Sus scrofa: one gene and its partner. The protein of the gene in region 2 interacts with the protein of the main gene of each other region in a pairwise test. Links are inferred from orthologs where the notes say so. Each region holds a gene or a part of one and is shown on either strand. Other genes may lie near its edges.

Region 1 (4,538 bases), on a different chromosome or scaffold from region 2:
CATAAAAAAAAAAAAAAAAAAGACAACCTACAGAATGGGAGAAAGCAGTTTCAAACAATGCAACTGACAAGGGCTTAATCTCTAAAATAATTCGAACAATTCATACAACTCTAGAGCAAAAAACCCAACCCATCTGAAAAATGGGCAGAAGACCTGAATAGAAACTTCTCTAAAGGAGACACACAGATGGCCAACAGGCACATGAAACAATGCTCAGCATCACTAATTATTAGGAAAACGCAAATCAAAACTACTCTGAGGTGCCACCTCACACTGTTCAGAATGGCCATAATTAGGAAATCTACAAACAAATGCTGGAGAGGGTGTGGAGAAAGGGGTACCCTCCTACACGTAAATCAGTCCAACCACTGTGGAAAGCAGTAGGGAGGTACCTCAGAAAACCAGATATAGTAGTACGGTATGACCCAGCAATCCCACTCTTGGGCATATATTCAGACAAACTTTCACTGAAAAAGACACACGCACCTGTATGTTCACTGCACCACTATTCACAACAGCCAAGACGTGGAAACAATCTAAATGTCCATCCACAGACAATGGATGAAGAAGACGTAGCACATATGCACAATGGAATACTACTCAGCCATAAAAAAGAACAAAATAATGCTATTTGCAGCAACATGGATGGAACAAGAGACTCTCATACTAAGTGAAGTAAATCAGAAAGAGAAAAACAAATGCCATACATTATCACTTATATCTGGAATCTAATACGTGGCACAAATGAACCTTTCTACAGAAAAGAAACAAACTCATGGACTTGGAGAAGAGACTTGTTGCCAAGGGAGTGGGAGTGGAGAGAGAATGAGATCCTGCCGCACAGCACAGGGAACTATGTCTAGTCACTTGTGCTGGAACATGACGGAGGATAATGTGAGAAAAAGAATGTATATATATATGTACACACACATGTATATATGTTTAACTGGGTCACTTTACTGAAAAGCAGAAATTGACAGAACATTGTAAATCAACTATAATTTTAAAAATTTAAAAAAAAATAAAATCAAAGCTCCTTAACACTCCCCAGATATCTATACATCTGGACACCAGGTTAGAGACCTGACAGGTTTGTACTTAGCACCCCGACAGTAACCAACTTCTCTTGACTGCTATGTTTCAGTACTCTTCTTTTTTATTTTAAGGCCGCACCCTTAGCATATGGAAGTTCCCAGGCTAGGGGTCTTCCCACATTGCCTACGCCACAGCCGCAGCAATGGGGGATCCAAGCCGCGTCTGCGACCCAGACTACAGCTCACAGCAACAACGGACCCTTAACCCACTGAGCGAGGCCAAGGATGGAACCCACATCCTCATGGATCCTGGTCGGGTTCGTTAACTGATGAGCCACAAAGGGACTTCCTCATTACTCTTAAGAGTTCTCTAAATTAGCTATATGATTCCTTCTGTGTCCCTAAATACCCCTCAGTCACACCTGAAAGCAAGGTGCTCCCCCAGCCCCAGCTCCATCCATGACTGATGGAGAGGGCAGGACCAACTTACTTTCTCTTGTCGCTTCTCTTCTTCGTACTCTTTATTGCCTCTGCTCAAGCCTTTCCCTTCCTCTAGCAGCTCCCGAAACAGATCCACAGGGCCAGACCTTGGGGCTCCTGCTTCTGCTGCTTCAAGCGCAGGCAGTGAGTTCTGATGCCTAGCTTTCTTCCGCAGGAATTCCGTGCGGGCCTGGGGGAAAAGAAAGTTACAGGCAGAATATTCAGAACCTAGATGTGATTCAAGGAACAGTGAATCTAGTGCCAACCACAGACGGGGGCTGTAAGGAAGGGAGCAGAGGCACTCGGAGCCAGGAAAGGCACCTGCCCCAGCTTCGAGAAAAGGTGGAGAAATAAGGCAATATCTGGGTTTGCAAGCTACCTTTCAAACAGAAAACCAGAGGGATTCCGAATTTCCAGTGACACAATAAAAACAGCTATTAATGGAGTTCCCTTGTGACGCAGCGGGTTAAGGACCCCGCCTTGTCACTGCAGCAGCTCAAGTCGCTGCTAAGGCTCAGGTTCAGTCCCTGGCCTGGGAACTCCCACATGCGGTGGGCACTGCCAAAAAAAAACAAACAGAAAAACCGCTATGAAGGCAACCAAAACATGTATTAGAACAGGTGATCTGAATTCCAGGTTGGGCTTCGAGTCACTATCCCCGGTTGGTTTGCAATTTCTAGTGATAAATGAGAATTTTAAAAGCCCTAACTATCCCCCAGCCAGTGCTGACCACCAAATTAGCTAAAGGACTGGAAGTGAGGTGTAAATCAAACAGGTGAGGAGTTACAAAGACTGCCTCTGGTGTTTCTGTGTGGCCGGCAGTGCAGGCAAAGGGCTCGCCCGATAAAACTGAATTGCCTTGTTCCACTGTCATTTCGCTGTGGCCTCCTCTCTGAAGGCATCTCACCCCTCTGCAAAATAGAAATGATAGCGCCTCCTCTAAGAATGAACGGTGCTTGAGATATTTTGCAAGTCAAGCGTTCTGCAGCAGGCGCTCACTAAATGGGGACTTTGCGCAGGCAAACTGAAAAGTAGCCCGGGTTTCCTTGAACTACTCAGGGCTTCGTTTTTTCATGAGCTCCTACTATGGCCTCGAGAAGTACAGGAGCGGGGGAAGAGCAAGAGCGGCGAGAGTTCAAGGAGAGCTAATCAAAGCACTAGGAGAAGATACTTCCAAAGCACCCAGCCCCAAATTCCCCACGGTGTGCCCTGCGCCTGCGCGCCGCACCGCTTCCGGTCCCTCCCGAGGAGCCTGCGCGCTCAGCCCCGGAGCCCCGGCCGGGCTCGGTGCTTACCTCTTGCTGAGCGAGAAGCACCCTCCGCTCACGCTCTTTCTCTTCCTCCCGGGCTTGGGCCTCGTCACGCCGCACGCGGGCCACATTGTCCTTGTTCCGGACGTGCCAGCTCTTCTTGGGTAGGATATTCATGGCGCCGTAGCTGTCCGCGAACTGGCAGGCCCGCCTCCTAGCACTTCCGATTGGCAGGAGGATGGCCCCTCCCTGTTGTTTCTGCCTCGGTCACGGATTGGTCCTAGACTACTTGGCACGCCCCCCCGGGTCCGTAGCAAAGGCTGATTGGCTGAGACCCCCACCTCCCATCGCGGAGCATCGCGCGTGCGGTCGCCCAGCGACGGCCTCTCCTGAAGATCCCGAGTCCATCACAAGTGTCCCCGCCCTGACGCTGCCGAACGCAGCCGCTGATTGGCTGACACGCCCACCAGGTGTTCTCGAGGAAATGCCCTCCACACCAACCCTCCCCGGCCAACGCATTTGATTGGCTTCTGTCTCGCTGAAGTCTTGCCCCCGGCTTCCGGACACAAGTTTCAAAAAGCGTTCAGCAGCCTCCGTTGTGTTTATTGATACAAGAAAGGGGTTCACTGGAGAGGCAGCGACCCCCAGGGCTGGAAAGGCATGGGATGTTCTCCAGTTCTTTCATTTTCCAAACGACGCGGCCGAGACCTTCAAAGGATCTGGGGGTGGGTCTCTGTCTGAAAGCGAGACGTCGTCACCCTGAACCAGGCTGGGAAGGTCAAAGAGCTCCGTTGGCCGAGCTCAGTGCCACAGCGCGCTGTGCCAGGAAGACTTTATTCTGTGCCTCCTGGGGTAAAGGGTAAAGAGAGGTGGAGGTGAGACAGATCTCTAGATTCCCCGGGACCCCTTGCCAAGGACCCGGCCTGACTCACCGTCTCTATCTGGCGTTTGAGCTCAGAGATGAGGCGTCCATATGAGTTAGCCAGGGCCACAGTATATGCCATCAGGATGCTAGAGGAGACGGAATGAAAGCCACTCCCCAAACACGCTTAGTGTATCTTCGACGTAAGACTCTTTTAGAAACCAGGGGCCCGGACCTCCTTCAGACTCAAGAAGTCTAGTATCCCAGTTCCCTTCTTCCCGCAGACCCAGAAGTTTGGGCCCCCAGCCCCCTCCGTTCTCGGAAGTAGGACCCCAGATCACACGTTCAAACCCGGATGCAGGAGTCTGGGGCCCTCACCTGGATAACAGCAGAAGGGGCACAGCAAATGCCTGGGTCCCCAGGAAGAAGAGAAAATTCTGGGCAGTCTCGGGGAGGCTTCCGATAGACTTAGGGATCTCGGACCAGATGGACAACTGCCCCCGGAATGGACCACACAGCTTAGAAGGTGGGATCCTGAAGTCAGAGACAGACAGGCAGAGCTCCAGGATGGCCACAAGTCAGAACCTTGGAGGGAAGTGGGAAGAGGGAGGGAAAGAGAGGCAGGTGCCTCTCACACTTACACGAAGATGCCATATAGCACAGGAACGGCGGAGATGGCCAGACCCAGGAGAAGCACCAGGGGGAAAAAGAAATTCACAGTAGAGGCCCGAAATGTGCGGGAGGCCGGGGAGCAGGTGGAGAAGAGGGTGAGCTGGCGCAGGAAGGAGAGAATGTGAGACACAGGCGTCTGAGCCCCAGACTCTCCTCCACCGGGAACCCTGGCCCCCTCTTCTCAGTCAGGATCCTGGAGTCCCAGTTCTTTTAACACCATCGGACACAGTAGTCCGGGTC
Region 2 (4,272 bases):
ACCTGTCGCTAGCTACTGTCCCAAGTCTGACCAAAGGCACCATAAAAGCAACAACCTGGAATCACCATGAGGGCAAGCATTGCCTTTCTTTGCCCACTGTATCTCTAACTCCATTAAGTCTACCTGGACCACTGATTATTTTGAATGGTTTTTGGCCCTGCTGGGTCCCTTACCTGCTTTCAGCTCTGGCCCAACACTTCCCCACATCTACTGTTTGGGCCTCAACCTCCTTTGCTAAGTCCTATCTACCCCTGTCCCCACCCTACAGAAACAACTTTCTTAGGTCCAAAAGATGACTCTTGCTCTAGACTTTGTCTGTTCACCAAGTAAACTGGTTTTCTATCTGACTTCATGTCAGATCCCAAAGAGTAAAAATGAACTCTTGTCATGCTCTCATTTCCATTCTCTCTGCTGAGCTTATTCTGCTCCTGTTCACTCCTAACACCTTCCTACTGAAGCCCAGCTCAACAGCAAGAGACCTGTTCCCTGTATCTCATTGAACCCACAATGTAAGGTTTATTGGTACAAATAAAACACTCAGCATCAAAAGGTCTTAAACAAGAAGGAATTTTATTATCTAAATTAGAGGTTCTAAAGTAGGGCTGGTTCCCGGCATGGTACAGAAGACATCTGGGCAGATACATGTAAGAATCAGAATTCTGAACCCCTCAAATCCTCCTGACAGTTCCTGGCTGGCAGCGATAGGCCCCACAAATCCCCTAATCAGGCTTCCCTGATTTAACATTTCAAAGACTTAACCTGGGGTTATGGGCTCACAAAAGTAGAGATTATTCTCAGCACTCACCCCACTCCCTTAGGGCCTCCAGCCCTCCAGGCCCACAAAAAGATCTCAGCACAGCTCAGACAGCATTACAAGATCTAGTATGGGAGATAGCCAGGCATCTTGTCGATTTCTACAGGCAGGAATCTGGGGCACACAGATGGGTGGGGATCTTAAGGGTTATCTGCCCAAGGAGGATGAAACATTAAAATCTGGCTCCACTTATGGGTGCATTTACCCAGGACTCAGGATTTAACATTAGCTCAAGCATCTAAAATCGGTATTGAAACAATGTGCTACCTTGTTTATGGAAGCCTGAACTCAAACAGCACCCTGCAAGGAATAAGAGTTAAGAGGCAGCACTTGCCTGGCAGGGCTGAGAAAGAACCCAAAAGCTCAGGAAGACAGGAATATGGTATGTGCCCTGATGTACGCCTATTGTCCCATTCCGATTAGTAATAGTGCCCCCTTTTTCTCTCGAGTGTCCCAGTTTGGGATGGTGTGCCATCTACTCAACTACCCCTTATTCATCCCATCCTGGAAGCCCCAGAGGACACTCACTTCACCAGGGCTTTAAAAAGTGCCTTGGTGAGGGGAGCACCAGTTTCCCTATAAAGCTCTGTAGTAGCAGTCCTCTATTGCCCAGACATGACAGTAGAGAATAATGGGATTGAACTAGGCTCTCTGATATCAGTAGGAATAATGGGAGTCAGGGTGAGAGTGGCAAAGGCCAATGATAGCACTTAACCATTAAAAGACGCTCTTTTTTTTCCGTAGTGCTTGATATTTATTGAAAAGAATGCAAATGCTTTTTCTATGTAGTATTGAGGAGCTGGGCTGAGTACCTGCTTTTGTCTGTCTGGTTTTTGTTTTTAGTATTTTTGTCCAAATGCACACAGCTGTGGGACTGCTTCAGTTTTAAAAGAAAAATGACAGTTGTGCAAAACTGGTGCATAAGAGAAATGTCAATAATTTGGCTGCCAGGCACAACGGGCCCCTGCAGCAACCTGGTGAGGCAGGAGAAGACTCTATGAGTTAGGAAAGGAGGGAACGAACCAGGTGCAAAGATTCGCCCCTCGTGGGGGGGTGGGGTGGGCGTGAGCAGTCCAAATCAATGTCCCAGGTGGTATAGCCAACTAAAAGCATCTTCTAGGTTGGTCCTTGTCTCCAAAGGCCTGGTCTGTCTGTCGCTGGAATGTGATGGAGGTTGGTTAGGTGGCAGCGTCGGTCTTTGGGCAGATGTAGGCCTGACAATCGGCAGGGCTGTGGGTAGTCTGACCAGTTTGTAACAGTCTGCCCTATAGTTGGGGCTCAGAACACAGTTCAAATTAGCAGGGTTGGGCCCTGGGACTGGCCTGAGTGGGAGGCAGCGCACTTCAGAGAGGCCCCAGCCCCAGCAGCAGGTAACTGTAGCACTATTCCCAGAACAAAGACAAACACTACGGGGGGGGGGGGGGGGGGGGGGGAGCGGTGAATAAGGAAGAGAACCAGAGCGAAGACTAGGAAGACTAGGGAAGCAGATAGGGAGCGAGGGAAGTGTCGCGGCTCCGGGAGGAGCGAAGCGGGGCGGGGGGTGGTGGCGGCGTGCAGGGCCCACCCCCCTAGGCCCGAGGGTCTCCCGGCCTAGTAATCAGCTTCTTCATCTTCTTCGTCGTCTTCTTCGTCGTCATCCCAGCCAAAACACTGCTTCATCTCATCGAGGAAGGCCCGGTAATCACCTAGGATGGGGCTATCCATCTCAATGTAGGGCACCACCCACTCTTCGGCTTCCCCGGTGAGCAGGCTGATTAGGAATGCCACCTTCATGGCGTCGTTGCAGAACCGGTTCTCGTTGACGAGCATGTAAGACGCCGTCTGCACGATAAACTCAGGGAGGCGGGAGCTCTCACCGTTAAACGTTTCGGGGAAGGGCACCGGGCAGCTCGGCGGACGTACCTGGCGCAGTAGGGTGGCCCTCTCGCACACCAGCAGCCGCAGCTGTTCCATGAGCTGGCTGTTCTCGATGCTCAAGGCGCGGTGCCGCATCAGGAGCGCGTGCAGCAGCAGTACCAGCTCGTCCACCATGGCGAACAGCTTGTAAGAGCAAGAATGGGCTCAGCTCGGTTCGGATCGGCTAAGGTGAGCAAGGAGGCCTTGCAGGAAGTGCGTGTCCGCGGAGGCGCGCGGCGGCCAGGGGCGAGAGGCGGTGCGCGCAGGGGTCCCGGCAGCTGCGCAAGCTCCACCCACACAGCGGCTCTGACGGCCGGCACGCCGGCGCCGCCCGCTTGGAGGGAGGCGGGCACTGGAGAAAGGAGGGGCGTGGCCAGAGTGGAGCGGACAGAGGGAGGGCGTGGCCAGGCAAGGAGGCGGGCAGGGTCTCGGGCTGCTGGCTCGCAGTTCTCCCGGCCCGTGGATAAAGGCAGTGGGGGGAGATCCAGCCCTAGATGCGGGCCAGGCCTTAGCCAAGGCCGAGCAAACGCTAAGATCCATCTCCCAGAGAGGGTTAACCTGCTCAAGTTTAAAGGATTAACCACCCTTCAACCCAAACGACTCAATGTTCCTCGGTGGGTCTGTGGCCACCAGATTCCATTTATGTGGTTTTAACACATTTCTTTGCGTGTTTAAATCTCCCTCACTCAGAGAACTATTAGCAATTCTGGCTGCACCGCAGGAGTCACATCCTTTAAGAGTTATGAAAGACGTTCAGGAGTCCTGTCTTTCATGACAAAGTAATACTTAAAAAGAGGTTTTTCTTTAGTTGTAAAATAATATTGTGTACCTCTATCCTTTTGTTTAAAATTACTTTTAAATAGCAAAGTGTAAAAAGTTCTGCAAAAGTTAGTATCCAATCACCATTTGCATGAGTCCTGCCTATCTTTGACTCTATTTCATGTCCTACTACTGGTTATTGTTCTTTGCTTAACAATGAACACATGTGTTTTTAAAATAGTTTTGTTTTCTACTTTGAATGTGATTATTCAAATAGTTGACAAATAAGTCAGGGTGAGGACCTTGGGGCCAATATATTTTTTTAGCTTTGCTTTTTAAATATATCAGCAGTTTAATTACCTGGGGATCTCTAAACAGCACTACCACCCTAAGGCCAGCCCTCCTTTCTCACACAGACTGTTGCAGCTCATCACTTAGCTTCCACTCTTCTCTTCCTCAAGTTGTGTGTGTGTGTGTGTGTATTATATACATACTCCAGAGTAGATATAGGAATCCTTTAGGACAAACATTAGATCTCTTTACTTTCCTGCTCAAAACCCTCCAATAGTTTTTCCCCCTTCGCTCAAAATAAAAACCAAAGTCTCGGTAATGGCCTATCAAGCCCTGCCTCACTCCCTTTGCCTTGTCCCAGTTCCTGCTCTGCTGTCATCACACTGTCCTTCTTGCTGAGGCTCACACACACTGAGTGGCTCTGGCCTCAGGATCTTTGTACTTTCTTTTTTGCCTCAGAATGTTCTCCTGGTTTTACTGCCTGACTCTTCCTCCATTTTCAAAGCGGACTT

Evidence for each region.
Region 1: the proteins of LDOC1 (region 2) and LENG1 interact in binary tests that used the Homo sapiens proteins (3 or more experiments, as listed by UniProt). The two-hybrid records come from large-scale screens. The link is inferred for Sus scrofa from reciprocal best matches to the Homo sapiens genes LDOC1 and LENG1.

Annotation. Positions count from the first base shown.
Region 1 is NC_010448.4:55,969,074-55,973,611, reverse strand, and holds the start of LENG1 (leukocyte receptor cluster member 1), read right to left. Parts: upstream 3,028-4,538; 5' UTR 2,942-3,027; coding exon 2,810-2,941; intron 1,705-2,809; coding exon 1,525-1,704; intron 1-1,524. Other genes in the region: TMC4 (transmembrane channel-like protein 4), read right to left, coding at 3,543-3,611, 3,697-3,775, 4,005-4,160, 4,268-4,398.
Region 2 is NC_010461.5:115,579,409-115,583,680, reverse strand, and holds LDOC1 (protein LDOC1), read right to left. Parts: upstream 3,060-4,272; 5' UTR 2,846-3,059; coding exon 2,405-2,845; 3' UTR 552-2,404; downstream 1-551. UniProt on the Homo sapiens protein: May have an important role in the development and/or progression of some cancers.